Linked DNA regions of Arabidopsis thaliana. The protein of the gene in region 3 interacts with the protein of the main gene of each other region in a pairwise test. Each region holds a gene or a part of one and is shown on either strand. Other genes may lie near its edges.

Region 1 (4,653 bases), 410 kb from region 3:
AAAGCAATATTTACTAATTAATTTTATCTAAAATAACTGAAACTATTTTTTTCGTACTATCATCATTCGACGCATTTTTATATTAAAAGAACTAAATCATCTTTGAAATCGAATTTTCATACATTTTTAATTTTAAAGGGTAATATATTTGATAGAGTACATATTTATTTATTGATTTTTTATATAAAAATGAGTGAACCGTCTATAATTTATAATTAATAATTATATTAGTGTAATAATGCATTTCTGAAGAGGGGATGGATTAGGTGTAGTATAATAATTATATTAATGTAACGTTTTAATCCCCGGGATTAAAGTGAAATATCACCTCACACGTGAACTGTAGTCAAAGTTCCCTACTTCCCGCATGTAAACCTTACATCACAGTCTAAACACTAAACATAACGCATGACCTAATTCACTTTCACACTGGGTGATGTGATGCTTCTACATTACTCATCCCCATATTAGCGCATTGTTTAACAATTCCACATATATAATCAATTTTTCAAGAAGAAGAAACAGAACAACATTATAGATTTCTTTAGATAATAATGAAACACACATCATATATTATTGGTCAACAATTTAACGAGAGAGTTTTGTGAATGTTGTCCGAAACTCATACATAAACACCGTCACAACAGGTAACTGAAACCAATACTTTATAAAATCTTAACATTTAAGCCTACGTACGAGAGATGGTGAAAGAAAGAGACAGGTCTTAATTTCTTCTTCAAACTCAAATCTCCCACACGACTAGATCTGCAAAAGCAGAAAAGAGACCTCGAAATTAAATCACATAAACAATTATATACACACACATGCAGGCACATCCTCCGAAATATGGTAGTATTAGAATTTATACTACAAAAGTCAAAATACACGAAGGCCAAAAAAAGAAAAAAAACCCCAATGAATGCTCTAAAGAAGCGCAAGGTGTGTGTGTGTAATTAAATTAGATTGAGTCAACATTGTTGACCTAAGCCAAACAACATGTCTCTCGCATGCATTTATCCATTTTAGATCCCAATGAAGAAATAAACTAGTACTAATATAGATGTATAAACTATAATTATATAGACATTAAATAAGTATTCATTTTACCATAGTTTATTTAACCGATAGAGTAGTATCTAGCTATAGTGGAACCTTAATTAGTATAACAAAGGAAAATAGAGAGGAAACAAAACCAGATAGTACGAGGCTCCGTGTTGAAGAGGGTGAAGAGCGACGCCATATTCATCGGTGACAATGGGCTGACCCGCGGAATTAATCAGAACAACCTCTTCCCCAAATGCATCCCTCACATTGAACGGTCCTGAGCTCACTTCAAGCTCCATTTCATTGATGAAAACTCTTATTCGTGCGTCCGCTGCATCCATATTTAGCCATTGTTATCCCATTATTTCATGTTAGTATAATGACTATAACAATCTATATAAAACAAAATTGTAAAGCTCACACAATCTATTTTCAAGAAAGAGAGAGAGGGTATATAGAAATAAAGAATCATCTAAAGGCTACTAAACATGAAGGTTTTAAAAAAAGATTTGTATGGATCAATGTGTCCCTTACATTGTTGACACAAAATTAATGTATCTCTACGATTGAGTAAAATTTCAACATGTATATAAGTAATCTATAACTTAAAAAGGGTGATAACTTTATATATTAACATTACCTTGAACTTGAAGCTGGTCCGAAGTTGATGGGACAGTAGCGAGAGAATGCGAAGTAGTAATAGTGGTGGCAGTAGAAGTAGTGGGAGGAATATGAAGCATGATGTTATTGTTGTTGTTGTTGTTGTTGTAAGAAGCTATTTGATGATTAGTGGTAGCGTAACAAATCTGAGTCTGTGGCTGTTGCAACATCTTCATCCTCATTTCTTCAACTTCTTTCTCACTCAAGTGTTGTTGATGATGAGTTCCATAACTCACACTACCGTTCATGATCTCACTCAGCAGGAGTCCGGTACACGTTGGAGCCGGTTTTTGTTGCTCAATCATATCACCGGAGAGAAACCCTAATTGGGATGAGACGGTGATACCTTCAAACCCTCCGACAGTGGAGACCGGGAAGAGAAACGCCGGTTCCGGTGGAAACATCCCCATCATTTGACTACCACCCAAAGAGAGATTAGTGTTGTTCTTGTTCTTGCTTTTTCGGGGTTTGGTGGATTTGGAGGAGGAAGAGGAGGAGGAAGAGGAAGAGGAAGCCGAAGGTTGCGGCTGCGGCTGCGGTTGCGTTTGAGGGAGAGAGTGTTTGGAGTGGTTGTGGAGGAGGCGGAGTTTGTGTTTACTACGGGACTTACGGTTTTGGAACCAGTAGAAGACGTTAGCATCACCGACTTGGCCGTATTCTTGAAGCTGAGCCCTAATCCTCCTGATCTCCTCTCTTGGAGGATTCACCATCCCGGAGTTAAAGATTGCTTCAAGTATCCGAATCTGCTCTGGCTTTGGATTCCATCTTGGTTTTGGCTCTGGACTCCTCTCCACTTCACATCCTAAAAAATTCACAATCTCATCAGATAAGAGTTCTTTAAAACAAAATTTAGTTTTGAATTGGTAAATATGTAGAAGTAGAAGGACCTGAAGAGAAAGGAGAAGATCGGTGAGAAGCAGAAGGCAAGAGAGGAGAGTTGATGTCATGTTGCCATTGATGGGGATGAGGTTTGGACTTGAACATGCTTGGCCAGTGTCTATTCGAAGAAGCCATAACTAATTAACTCGATCCGCAGAACACAGATGTATGTGTATGCATATGATGATGATTGATGTTGAATGATGATGTGATGATGATGTGATGTGTCAAAAAGAGAGGAGGAAGAGACAGGGAACAGAATGGCTAAATGGAAAGATAAATAAAAATGTGAATAGGGCAAAAGGGTTACGACCTCTTTCTCTCCCTCTTATAGCCTCTCTTCACCTACCCAACCTGTTTTCATATATTCATTCATCTCTTTTACATAAATTTAATTTAAAGTCTCACCCATATTTCTATACACCATTTCTCTTTCTCTCTATATCTATGTATCTATCTATGATGTATAGATGTGTATCTATATCATTATGTGTATATGTTTAGTAAAGACAAAAAAAACTATCACTACTTCTCTTGTTTAGGGAATCAAATGAATTAGAGAAGTAGGCTAAATCCTATTAACAGAAATGTTATAAAAGAAAATAGGAACACTGTTTTCATTACGTTTTATTATTAACTACTTCAGTCAAACAGTATGATTTAGTTGCATACTTGCATTAAATAGTTTTGAACAAAAAAAATTGCATTAAAAAGTAAATTTATTAATTCTATAGAAGGTCTTTGATCGCTTATATATAGATTATGAGGAGCACTTTGACATTTTAGATTTGAATCCAGTTTTGCTTGTCATGGTTCAATTATGATAAAATAAAAACTGTTTTAGGGGTTAGTTCCCTTTAGTGTCATCTAGTGGGAAAATGTGTATATCACCAATGGAAATTCAAAAGGCATTATTACAGTATTAAAAAAAGAGTGACAAGGTTAGTATTTAAGTACGTCAAAATGTGCTAGTCGACGAGTAGCCTATATTGCTATAACGTTAAATCACTGATGGATTGACCAATACTTCAATAACAAATAGAAGAAGACAATTTTGGAAATCTTAAATTTCTTCAACAGTCATTTGATTAGTTGTGTATCATGAGCGTTTCTTTTAGCCTCGCAAACAAATAGAAGACCGCATGCATTCACACTGTCTAATAAACCACTTTGAGAGTCCGAAGGAGCTTCACTGAATTAGCCCCAAACCATATCAATCTCACTCACAAATGACCAAATTGATAGCATACCCTGTGGCGAATGCTTAATACCATTAAATAATTTTATCATTTGTGTTTTTCATATATGTACAAAAAAATCCAAAATCCATATGAAAATAACTGATAGAGAGACTAGTTATATGTGCCCAAAAAAAAAAAAAAAGAGAGAGACTAGTTATATAGATTTATAGAGTGGGTACTGAATTATTTAAAAATATTCAATATTTATTATAAGAAATTATTTTAGCAATTTTAAAAAGTTGCCATACAAAGTCATCTGTAATTTTACAAGGGTATTTGAAGCGCACTCCAAAAATTTCTGTTTACTTTAGGTTTATACTAATAGACTCTGAATTCATATTACTAAATTAAAAAATTTAATTAGTAGAGCAATACAGATTTTCTGTTACTACATCCATATTAGAGTTTGCATGGTATTTCATTCGTTTGTTTTGTTATTCACATTCCTAATATCAATTTCTGAGATAGAAAACAGTAAGAGACAGGAAGAAACTCAAAGTGATCATTAATGCAACCCCATGCCTCACTTCCTTACACTTCTTGCATTAAACTCCAAACTGCTTCTGCAGTTCAAACGTACGAACACAAATTTCTTCAGAAATTGAAACAACAGATTCTTTGAAAGTGATCCATGTTTGGTTCTGAACTAGGATTTTTTCTCCTTTTTATTATTTTCTCCTCTGACATCTCAAAAAAAAACATTAATTAAAACAAGACAGAAAGATTGTAAATTTTCTCACATTTTATGTTTATTTATTAACTATAACAAGATGGGTTTTTATTATTTGCTTGTATTACAAAAAAATAAAATCATGTAGTTTCTGGATTT
Region 2 (5,310 bases), on a different chromosome or scaffold from region 3:
TACTACGAGATTTCTAACACATCATCATCATCATACAGGAGCTACTATTGGCTTCAAGTGCCATACTGGACATAGGAGGAGATCTAAATGGATCAAAGCTGTGACAAATGAGTTGGGGCAATTCGTCATCGATCTTCCTTCTCACCTCCACGCGATTCCTGACTTAGACAAGGCTTGTATCATTAAAACACTCTCTGTCCCTAAACCGTATCGATGCTCTTCCAAGATTCACAGAGGTATTCAACTCCTCTCCTCTTCCAACGGCTCTCGTGTCTATACAGCTGGAAATATCACCTTACAAGAGAGCACCATGTAAAAGAGACTGTAAATTAATCTTGCTAGGAAAGATCAGTCCTGACTTTATTTCTATATGGTTCCTTCTCACTTCTTGTGAGAAAGAGAGATAGTCTTTGTAAATCTTGTTCTTCATGCTCTTCTTGTATATAATAAAATTTATGTTTTCTTCAAGCTTGGATCTTCTTGCTACTACAGAGATCATACGATCCTGTAACTGATTATGATATATATATTAGATGCAAAGTTTGTTATGTTAGCCTAACAACCAAGGCAAGACCAAAAAATCTGAGAGAAGACATATATGGTTATGTATGACTTTGAGAGAGAATATGCATGTTTTTGTGTTTAGCTGATTCTGATTTACTTATAGGTTTCCAAGATAATTGCTAACATTCAACTAATTGGTAGGAGAAGAGAGAGGAGTTTTGTGTCATCATCTGGAAACATGGCTTTGCAATCCGATATACATAACACACATACACATCTCTTGATCTTTAGTTTTCACTTTCTTATAATCCATCATCCAATACTCAATATGTACAGTACAACCTAACATTAGACCATATTCTTTAGTATTCAATCCCATAAGCTTCTTCTTCCTCTACTGGCAACGTGGATTGGGTATGCGGCTGCACAACATAGCATAAACATATAAATATCAACTGTCTTGATGTTTGACTATGTATACTTCTCAAAAGACAAAGACAAACAACAAAGGATGTGATGACCAAACCTTCTCGGTAGTTTTGCCTTTCTACATAGTTTTGACTCTTCATTCAACATTGCCAATGCGTTTTCCTTTTCTCTCGCTGCGGCTTCCCTCTTTGCCTTCTTTGTCTCAACTTCAATGGCTTTCGTTAGAGCATCCACCTTCTTCAACAACATCTAAAAACAGAGGTATCTTAAGAGGTTTCATATAGTTGAGGATCTTAAACAACCACAAGAAGATGATGAAGTTACCTTGATTTCTTCATTTTTGGCATTTATAGTACCCTCTTTACTCTCACATAGCTTCCTTAAAGCAATCACTTCCTTCTGAAGCCTGTCATATAAAAACCCTGAAACCATATCTTCAGAATAAACATTTCCATCTTCCTCTGTTTTCCTTTCGCTATCTTCTTCATGTTGATCAGTCAATCCGTTTGCAGTAATCTTTGAATTCTCCATTTCATCACTTTCCCCAACTCTGTCAATTGGCTGATTCATAGCATGGATTCTGCCTGTAACTGAGCCTCTTAGCTGAGAACTAGACCTTTTCTTTGAGCCACCACCACTGGTCAAGAATCCTAAAATCTTGCCAGATTTTTCAGTCTTTGTAGTTGGAGAGACGAAAAACGTGTTTGGGCCCTTCAAGCCATCTTCTATGGTTTTCAGCCTAAGCTTTAACCTCTCCTATAATGTTTACTTGCATTAGAAACTACACTTTTTACCAACAGAATATTAACTACATAAGCAATCACCTTTAGCTGGGACTCAGCCTTAGCGGTTCTCTCGGAAACAGCGAGTTTATCTTTCAATTTCTGCATTTCTCCCTGCACACAGACACAAAGTTCAACACTAATGTTTCCCATATAAGCTAGTCAGTGTGTATTAACTGGATGTGTAAGTGAAAAGCAGTGAGTACATGGAGAATCCTTCTCTCTTCAAGCCATTGCTTTACAGGCATGACTCTATCGTTCTCATCTTTCCACTCGTTAGCAACTGCAAGTGCCACTCTACTTGCTGACACTTTGACTCTGGCTAGCTCTCTCTCTAAGGTTCTCTTCTCATCCTGGTAACGATGAAAAAATCATGTGATTTTCCTTTAAAACAAATGTGAGAATGAAGTACAAGAAACTAAACAGAACACTTGCATTGAGCTGGGAGATTTGGCGGCGATAGTCTCGAACTGCATTGGCGGCTGTTCCTCCTGCCAAGATCGCTTCCTCCAGTTCTACAATGCTTTGGGAGAGCTTCTCAATCTCCAACACTTTCTGGCGGTTAATTTTCTCAAGAAACTTGTTCTCATCCTGGCATATCTCAATCTGTCGTCGAAGTTCAAAGTTATGGTTCTGGACCTCTTCAACAATCAAAGCACGTTCAAGGGCACTTCTCAAGATTCTCTCTGCTTCAAGAAGCGCCGATTCTTTTGATTTTGTTAGACGTTCCAACGCTTTCTTGTCCTCTTGAAGTGCAGAAATCTGTCAAACAGTAGCATGTCAAGAAAATCTGGCACTTCACACTGATACAAGAAAGAAATTTGAAATACATATAGTCTTAAGAACCTCATGCTTGTGAATCTTGATCTGAGATTCAAGAGGAGCTATGATGGATTCTAGGGGTAGAGAGTCATCGTCCTGTTGGTGAGTGTAAACCCTCCTTAGTGCTTCTTCTGCAGCGTCCTGTGCCGCCAATGCATCTTCCTTCTCTTCTTCTAGCTTCTTCCTCTCCAACTCCTACAATCATGTCACAAGCTTAACTTATTCTAGTCATTTCTAATGTTTTGACATGAGTCCTTCACAAAGATGGTCTATAGTATTTGAGCAAAACCTCACCTTTTGGTCAACTTGATTCTCGGTGGCTCCAAGTTTCTCCTCCAACTTCCTCACGTTTTCTCTAAGCTGAAACAACACCAAGTAGCATCAATAGAGCTCAAGAAGCTCAAAAAGGACAGTTTGAATATGGAAAACATTGATCAAAAAAACTTATAGGTAAGATTGACTTAAAGTTTTTGTAGAACAATCACAAACAGAGTTGATGATCATCATGCATGTTACCTCCTTAAAGACTCTGTCTTTGAGCTCTTCATTTGTTCTCAAAGCCTCAACTTCAGCTTTAGCAGCCAAAAGCTCTTTCTCTTTTTCTGCAGAGTGGAATTAAAAGAAAGCAGAACAACCTCAACATCAAGCAAATTACTCATAAGGGTTGATGAACAATAAACAGAAAGAAAAATAAGAACCTTTAAGCTGGCTTTGCAGAGAAGAGGTGTCAGATACAAAAGGGTTTTCTGCTGCAGTCATTTTGTAGTCTCAACGGCTCCTCCTTCTTTGTTGCAGTATAGAAGATGAGTTTTGGTCTAAGCAGAGGAGAAATGGAGTCGTTTAATATATACACACACACTTTCAGAGAGAGAGAGAGGCCATTCCTTAAAGGAATTGACGTTGAAAAAGAGAGAGGGAGAGAGAAAGAGAGAGTTAAAAACTTACTAACTCTTTTTCCTCATTCTCAAGCAACCGTCTCCATTTCAAACCCTTGAGACAGTAACCAACCCTTCCCTCTTCTTCTTTCACTTTCATTACCCATTTACTAAATTCATATTCATCCTCCCTTATCTTTATTTTCAATTCTGAAATGCTTACAAGTTATTGACTTGTTCTGTTTCACTAATTATCTTCTTAGTTACACCGAGCTTGTCCTTAACATTTGGTTCATCATCATAATTACCTCATTCATGTTTTTCATGTTCCAACATTAGTGGTGTAGTTAATATTATTTTAAAGGGACACGGCGTGAAAATACAAAAAATAAAACAGCTACCACAAATGGAAATTAAAATAAAGAGAAGAGAATATAATCCAAAGGAAGTTGGAAGGAGAAGCAGCATATGACAGATATAAAGACACTAATCATAAGGATAAAGATAATTTAAATGATTGAACTAATTTCGTTTGGTGAAAACCCTTTTCTTTCTTTCCTGTTTCTTTATAATAAAAACCTATATTGTATCCCCTTTTTGTCTTTATCGTTTTTGATAAGATTATATGAATGTAGGTAACAACAGATAACAATTATGATAATCTTGAAATAAAACTAAAGCTTAATCATCTTCTAAACATGTATTATCCAAATGATTTTTGTGTTGCAGTTTGATTAATAGAAAGAGTAAGAAAGAAAAGTTGAAAACTTGGAAGAAGGAAAGCAAAGTGTGAAAAGGTGTTGCCTCAGCAATTAATAGCTTAACCGCAAAATATTGCACAAACCAAGCTTTCTTTGTATTAGTGGAAGTCACTCAATATCTCTCTTTGAATTATTAAAAATTAATTGGGATTTTCTCTCTTCTTTGCTTCCAAGTCTTAAGGTTTGGTTATTATTAAATCAAACAATGATAGAGAATTAGACAAAGAACACTTAGCAAGTATAATATAGAATCAACTGAGGTAAATGACCAAATTTGGAGAGAAATTAGGTGAATAACAACAATTAAGTCAATGGCAATATTTTATTTATATGAATATGATTCCCTAACAAAAACTAAAATCATAGATCCAAAATTCTAAACTCTTAACACATAAAAGTAACATGTTAGGGCAAAAAATTACTCTCCTGAATTTTGTTACTGAGTGCAAAATACTCATTAGTATATTGTTATTAAAGGCAATAAAGGAAGCTTGAGCCTTAGAAAAGTAAAGAATAAAATGAAGGCAATGACCTGTACTTGTTCAATCCATGGTTTTGTGGGTTGGTGAGCTCCTTTTTAAGACCTTATCAGAATTCAGAACCCAATCTGACCTGTAGATTTGTCTCATATTTTGTTACCTCACGACCTTTGTTCAGCCGCCAGTTGACTTATACCGGTATATATAGAAGAAGATCATAAAATGACCTAATCAATGTTTTGGTTATATTTCATTACTAGCAACCCACCCACAACCACATGACAATTTACAAGAGAAAAACAACCACCAGGTTTGGTTTGTATACATATATAACTTAGGTTGTGTTACAACTTAAAACATCATTGCACATCCTAAAAAATTTACAGCGACAGATGTGTTTTTGTTGTGCTCTTCTTTATCCACTCAAGTAACCATCATCACTATAACTTACCCAATCTAGTTTGGGTTTGGCTTCCACACGGAACATGTAGCCATGGGTCGTCTCTTCCAGAAGAGGTAGAGCGCTCCTTCATGGCCTCCCAGTTTGTAGTTTTTGTCATAAGCTTTCAGCATCTCACTCGCTGCAAACGCTGCAGATGTGCTGACCGGCCAACCCGTGAACCCAGCCATCATCATTCTGACCCTCCATATCCCCAGT
Region 3 (4,615 bases):
ATTCCAGAATCGCCTAAATACAGTGTATTTATTACGGATCTCATCAAAGAAATGCTCCAAGCTTCACCCGATGAACGACCAGATATTACACAGGTTAAAAGTCAATTTTTACTCATTGTTTCTTCTCAGTTGAGGAAATGTAAAATGTCTCTAACAACATGTCCATCTACAGATTTGGTTTCGTGTCAATGAGCAGCTTCCTGCTAATTTACAGAAATCATTACCGGATCGACCACCTGAAATGCAATCTACTGGAGTCCATGATGGTATAGTGAATAAAACCTATTTTGGATAGCTTCTCAAAGAAAGATGTGATTTCTTTTGATCCTTATGAATTTTGACAGGCTCATCAAAATCAGCAACTAAACCTTCTCCAGCACCTCGTAGAAGTCCGCCACCGCCGCCACCATCTTCTGGAGAATCAGATAGTGGAGGACCGCTCGGTGCCTTTTGGGCGACTCAGCATGCTAAAACCTCAGTTGTATCAGAAGATAACAAAAACATGCCTAAATTTGATGAACCAAACAGTAACACATCTAAATCTGAAAGAGTTCGTGTGGATAGTCATCAACCCAAAAAACCAAGTCCTGTGAGAGGAGAGGCTCGTGGTATTCAAAGAAATAAAGATCTTGAAACTACGATTTCTCAGAAGAATACAACTCCTGCTGCAGCCAATAACATGACAAGAGTGTCCAAGGATGATGCCTTCAACTCGTTTGTTGCTGACTTTGATACCACAAAGTTCGATAATGGTAATAAACCTGGCAAAGAAGAGGCATTGGAAGCTGAGATACAGAGGTTAAAAGACGAGTTGAAGCAAACAAAATCAGAGAAGGCAGAAATAACTGCTAAGTTTGAAAAGCTTTCTGCTATCTGCAGATCGCAAAGGCAAGAGTTGCAGGATCTCAAACAAACACTTGCCTCTAAAAGTGCCTCACCGTCACCGAGCAGAGACTCTTCACAAAATCAACCCTCTCCAGGGATGCATTCCATGTCATCAACTCCATCGGTATTATTCTTGGTTCTTGTTCATCTAAGCTTAGACACCCATACAAAAGTCTTCATCAATGTATATCTTAGAATTCTAATGTTCTTGATGAAACAGAGAGATAAGATGGAAGGAACAATGTGGGAACTTCAACAGGACAGATCTAACTGGTCAACTGGCAGCTCTGATACAAATTCATGGCAACCTTTTAGTGATGAAGCGAAACCCGTGATGGAATCTGCATCAAAGGGTAACAATAATACGATTAATCAGTCTGTGAGAACCAGAAGTAAACCAGCTTCTGCTGCAGGTACTCAAGGTTTTGAGCCATGGGGTTTCGAGACAGAATCCTTTAGAGCCGCTGCAACGTCTGCAGCTGCTACTTCTGCATCTGGAACACAAAGATCTATGGGCTCTGGAAACAGCACTTCACAGAGATATGGGAACTCAAAGATGAGAGAAAACCAGAAAACAGCTCAACCTGCTGGATGGGCCGGCTTCTAAAACTCACTCAGATGCGCATTGCTATTTCTTCCTCATGCAACAACAACAGCTTCATGTTGCTGCCATTACAGAATCTTGAATCTTTTTGTAGATGATGATCATCCCCTGTTTTTGTGCTGCTGCTAAATATACCCCACCCATATCCATTATGTTTTATGTAGAGTCTTAAACTTTACACATTCTCTGAGCTGTGGCCAGATATCTCAGCTTATGGATTATTATTGGAAAAATAAATAATTCAAGATTCAGACAGCTTACACTTCTTTCTGTGAAACTTAGAACTAAGGTCACATTTAATACCGAACCCAACCATACGATGGCTGCATTATGGTTTAAATGTTACCCAAAAAGATTTCAGCCGTAACTAAATCAGCATTTTAAAATCCTGGATTAATTTTCGTTAATGTAAATCTCACATTGAACCGGACCCGAGTAGAAAAAAGTAAAAAACCGAACCAAAACATTAAATACCGAGCCCTAGTTTAGTTAGTTAGAAGGAACTTAAAAAGAGTTCGTGTCCTGAAAATCAAAGAAAAAGCTACCAAATTTTGAATCGTTGTCTTTAACTTGATTTTCCCCAAATTTCTCAGAAATCAAAATCCGCCGGAACAATGTCTACTCCCGATCCCAATCCCAATCCAAATCCAAATCCTTCCGTCTCTGTAGCAGTATCGACTCCAATCGTCACCGCATCTGAATCTCCGGTGACACAACCTAACACAGTCATAACGCCGTCGTCTCAACCTCAACCTCAAACACCAGCTTCGTCGTACAGAGCCATAGCTCCGCTTCATCGTCATCATCCTCATCAAAATATCTACACTAACCCTTTACCGATTAGGCGTTCGAATTCCGTTACTAATTCGCCTCATCAGCCTCCTCACCCAGACCCGTCTAGTCTGATATACCCGTTTGGTTCTTCGGGTCGAGGGTTTCCGACCCGACCCGTTAGACAGAATTCCAATTCCGTCGCTGATCCAGTTGGTAGTCCTAGTCCAGGTGGGTATACTCCTCGAGGGCCAGTTTACGGATACCACCATGGCCAATTCGTGTCGAATTTGGATCCAATGAATCAGTTCATGAGAGCTGCACATCCTCAGAATCAACAATCTCCTCAACTTGGTTCCGGTCATATGAAAGGAGTTCCTCATTTTTTGCAACCTCGGGTTAGTTATCGTTTTCGTTACCAAAACAAGTTTGAATCTTTTTGTTTAATTCCATAGTTTTGTCAAGTGTTTTTTTTGTAGCTTGTGCTAGTTAGTGAAAATGTGTATGTTGAAGTGAAGATTATTTGCTTTGGTGATTGTAGAATTCGAATAGCAATCTCTAATGAATTAGGAAAGGTTGAAACTTCTGTTAGATATTTGTGTGAGGTTACATTTTGTAAATTTTGGATTTTTGATTGTTAGGCTACTCCTTCTCCAACTTCAATTCTAGACAACAGTGGGCATAAGAAGGCCAGGTACTTTATCTTCTTTGCCATTATGCTTTGTTAATTAGAAACTACTCTAGAAACTTAATAATGTCTCTGTTTCGTTTCCATGGTGTTTAGGAGCCGGGATGATGCTCTGGTCCTCGTTAGAAAAAGAAAGGTATAGTTTTATCCTTGTTTTTTGGTTTTGCATTATCGTTCGAAACCGCTTGCTTCGCCATTTGAGGAATTTTAAATACTTTTTATTTGTTCTGCAGGTTAGAATAACCGAGGGAGCTTCTTTATACTCGCTGTGTCGATCTTGGTTGAGAAATGGTGCTCATGAGGGAATTAAGGTTCGTATCCATTTCTTATTTCTGCTTTGTAGTATAATGCAACACTTGGATTTTTGTATATCTATTCTTGATATCTTTGGAAGATTAATGACGTTGTTTACAGCCGCAGCGAATTGATATGATGACATGTTTGCCAAAGCCTTTACCTGTGGACAAGACGGAGACAAGTTTGCCAAAAGATTTAGTTGAAGAAGCAATTTGCGAAGAAGACAAAGAGGTTTCGTGTTTCTCTGATTTCTTTCTAAAATGGTAATTGTGAAGGGTAAAGCTAAGTTTGATTATTTACTTCAACTCTCTTGATGAGCTTCAGGACGAGGAATCTGTGAAACATTTGTCAGAATCTGATCTTTTGAAAAGACATATAGACCGAGCTAAGAAGGTCCGCGCTCGGTGAGTCCCACAACATATCATCAAAGCTAAGTTCGATGGTTGAAGATTGAATATTTTTTGTTTTGAACAAAATTGTGTGGTTTGTTTTGTTTGCAGATTGAGAGAAGAACGGTTAAAGAGAATCGCGAGGTACAAGGCAAGATTGGCTCTTCTTCTGCCACCCTTTGGAGAGCAATGCAGGAACGAGTAATGATTTTAAAGTTAGGGACTTCGGTGTGAATATACTTGCAGTTGATTTAGAAATGACATAAATTATCTTAGAGCCAGAGTTATGTCTTATGTCTGTGTGTAATATAAGAAAGATTTTCTCTGAATTTTCGTCATACACTCGTATTAGATGATTCTAAACTAATCAACAATCTCAAGATTTTCTGAGATGGTTAACTTATATAGCTCTTATCTTTTTTTTTTTTCAAGAACACCTAGTAGTTCTTGGACAAGTAAAATTTTCAATATAGTATTCGGTCATGGTGGGTCGACCATGTTTTGAACGCTGGATCGATCATCATGTGGTCGGACGATCATAATTTCAGAGATTGATCGACCATCCTTGGAAGCACGAACACATTTAGTCATGTGTTTGAATTTTCTTTTATCTTATTTGTTTCCAACTCCCAAATGATACGAAATGTCACAAAAACTCTTAAAATCACTACATAATCTAAGACTTCCTAAGACACAAATACTCCTATGGACATTAAAACAAGATTTTATCAACAGTGAAGCCATATTATCATCACTGTAGTTCTGAAAATGCCATATTGCCCAAAGTCTTTTCTAGCTAGTATGCCATAGTGGCTAACATCTTCTTCTTTCTTTTCATCTCTCTAAATAAGCAAAAAATTGAGAGGCTTTCTCTTCCTCTTCTATTCCTCTCCAACATAGTATTCATTCTCTCCTCATCTCATCTCTTGTTTCTTTTCAGCCGGAGCTTGTGCCGATGGTTCTACGTCGATCTCACTCTCT

Evidence for each region. The genes of interacting proteins can lie anywhere in the genome.
Region 1: the proteins of AT2G32840 (region 3) and HB-3 interact in a two-hybrid assay, tested with the Arabidopsis thaliana proteins (one large-scale study listed by BioGRID).
Region 2: the proteins of AT2G32840 (region 3) and MAP70-5 interact in a two-hybrid assay, tested with the Arabidopsis thaliana proteins (one large-scale study listed by BioGRID).

Annotation. Positions count from the first base shown.
Region 1 is NC_003071.7:14,340,880-14,345,532, forward strand, and holds HB-3 (homeobox-3), read right to left. Parts: upstream 2,900-4,653; 5' UTR 2,719-2,899; coding exon 2,592-2,718; intron 2,507-2,591; coding exon 1,685-2,506; intron 1,376-1,684; coding exon 1,158-1,375; 3' UTR 766-1,157; coding exon of another isoform or gene 760-765; 3' UTR 543-759; downstream 1-542. UniProt on the Arabidopsis thaliana protein: Homeodomain transcription factor required for meristem growth and early development. Promotes cell proliferation and prevents premature differentiation in meristematic tissues during postembryonic development.
Region 2 is NC_003075.7:9,656,110-9,661,419, forward strand, and holds MAP70-5 (microtubule-associated proteins 70-5), read right to left. Parts: upstream 3,468-5,310; 5' UTR 3,297-3,467; coding exon 3,236-3,296; intron 3,140-3,235; coding exon 3,054-3,139; intron 2,898-3,053; coding exon 2,832-2,897; intron 2,733-2,831; coding exon 2,562-2,732; intron 2,478-2,561; coding exon 2,151-2,477; intron 2,069-2,150; coding exon 1,922-2,068; intron 1,830-1,921; coding exon 1,758-1,829; intron 1,690-1,757; coding exon 1,258-1,689; intron 1,183-1,257; coding exon 1,031-1,182; intron 927-1,030; coding exon 899-926; 3' UTR 543-898; downstream 1-542. Other genes in the region: AT4G17215 (Pollen Ole e 1 allergen and extensin family protein), read left to right, coding at 39-316; SCL13 (SCARECROW-like 13), read right to left, coding at 5,109-5,310. UniProt on the Arabidopsis thaliana protein: Plant-specific protein that interact with microtubules and regulates microtubule dynamics. May play a role in anisotropic cell expansion and organ growth.
Region 3 is NC_003071.7:13,932,325-13,936,939, reverse strand, and holds AT2G32840 (proline-rich family protein), read left to right. Parts: upstream 1-1,990; 5' UTR 1,991-2,103; coding exon 2,104-2,658; intron 2,659-2,901; coding exon 2,902-2,954; intron 2,955-3,044; coding exon 3,045-3,084; intron 3,085-3,181; coding exon 3,182-3,259; intron 3,260-3,362; coding exon 3,363-3,476; coding exon of another isoform or gene 3,477-3,512; exon of another isoform or gene 3,513-3,569; coding exon 3,570-3,649; intron 3,650-3,745; coding exon 3,746-3,839; 3' UTR 3,840-4,101; downstream 4,102-4,615. Other genes in the region: AT2G32850 (Protein kinase superfamily protein), read left to right, coding at 1-93, 173-266, 345-1,009, 1,106-1,492.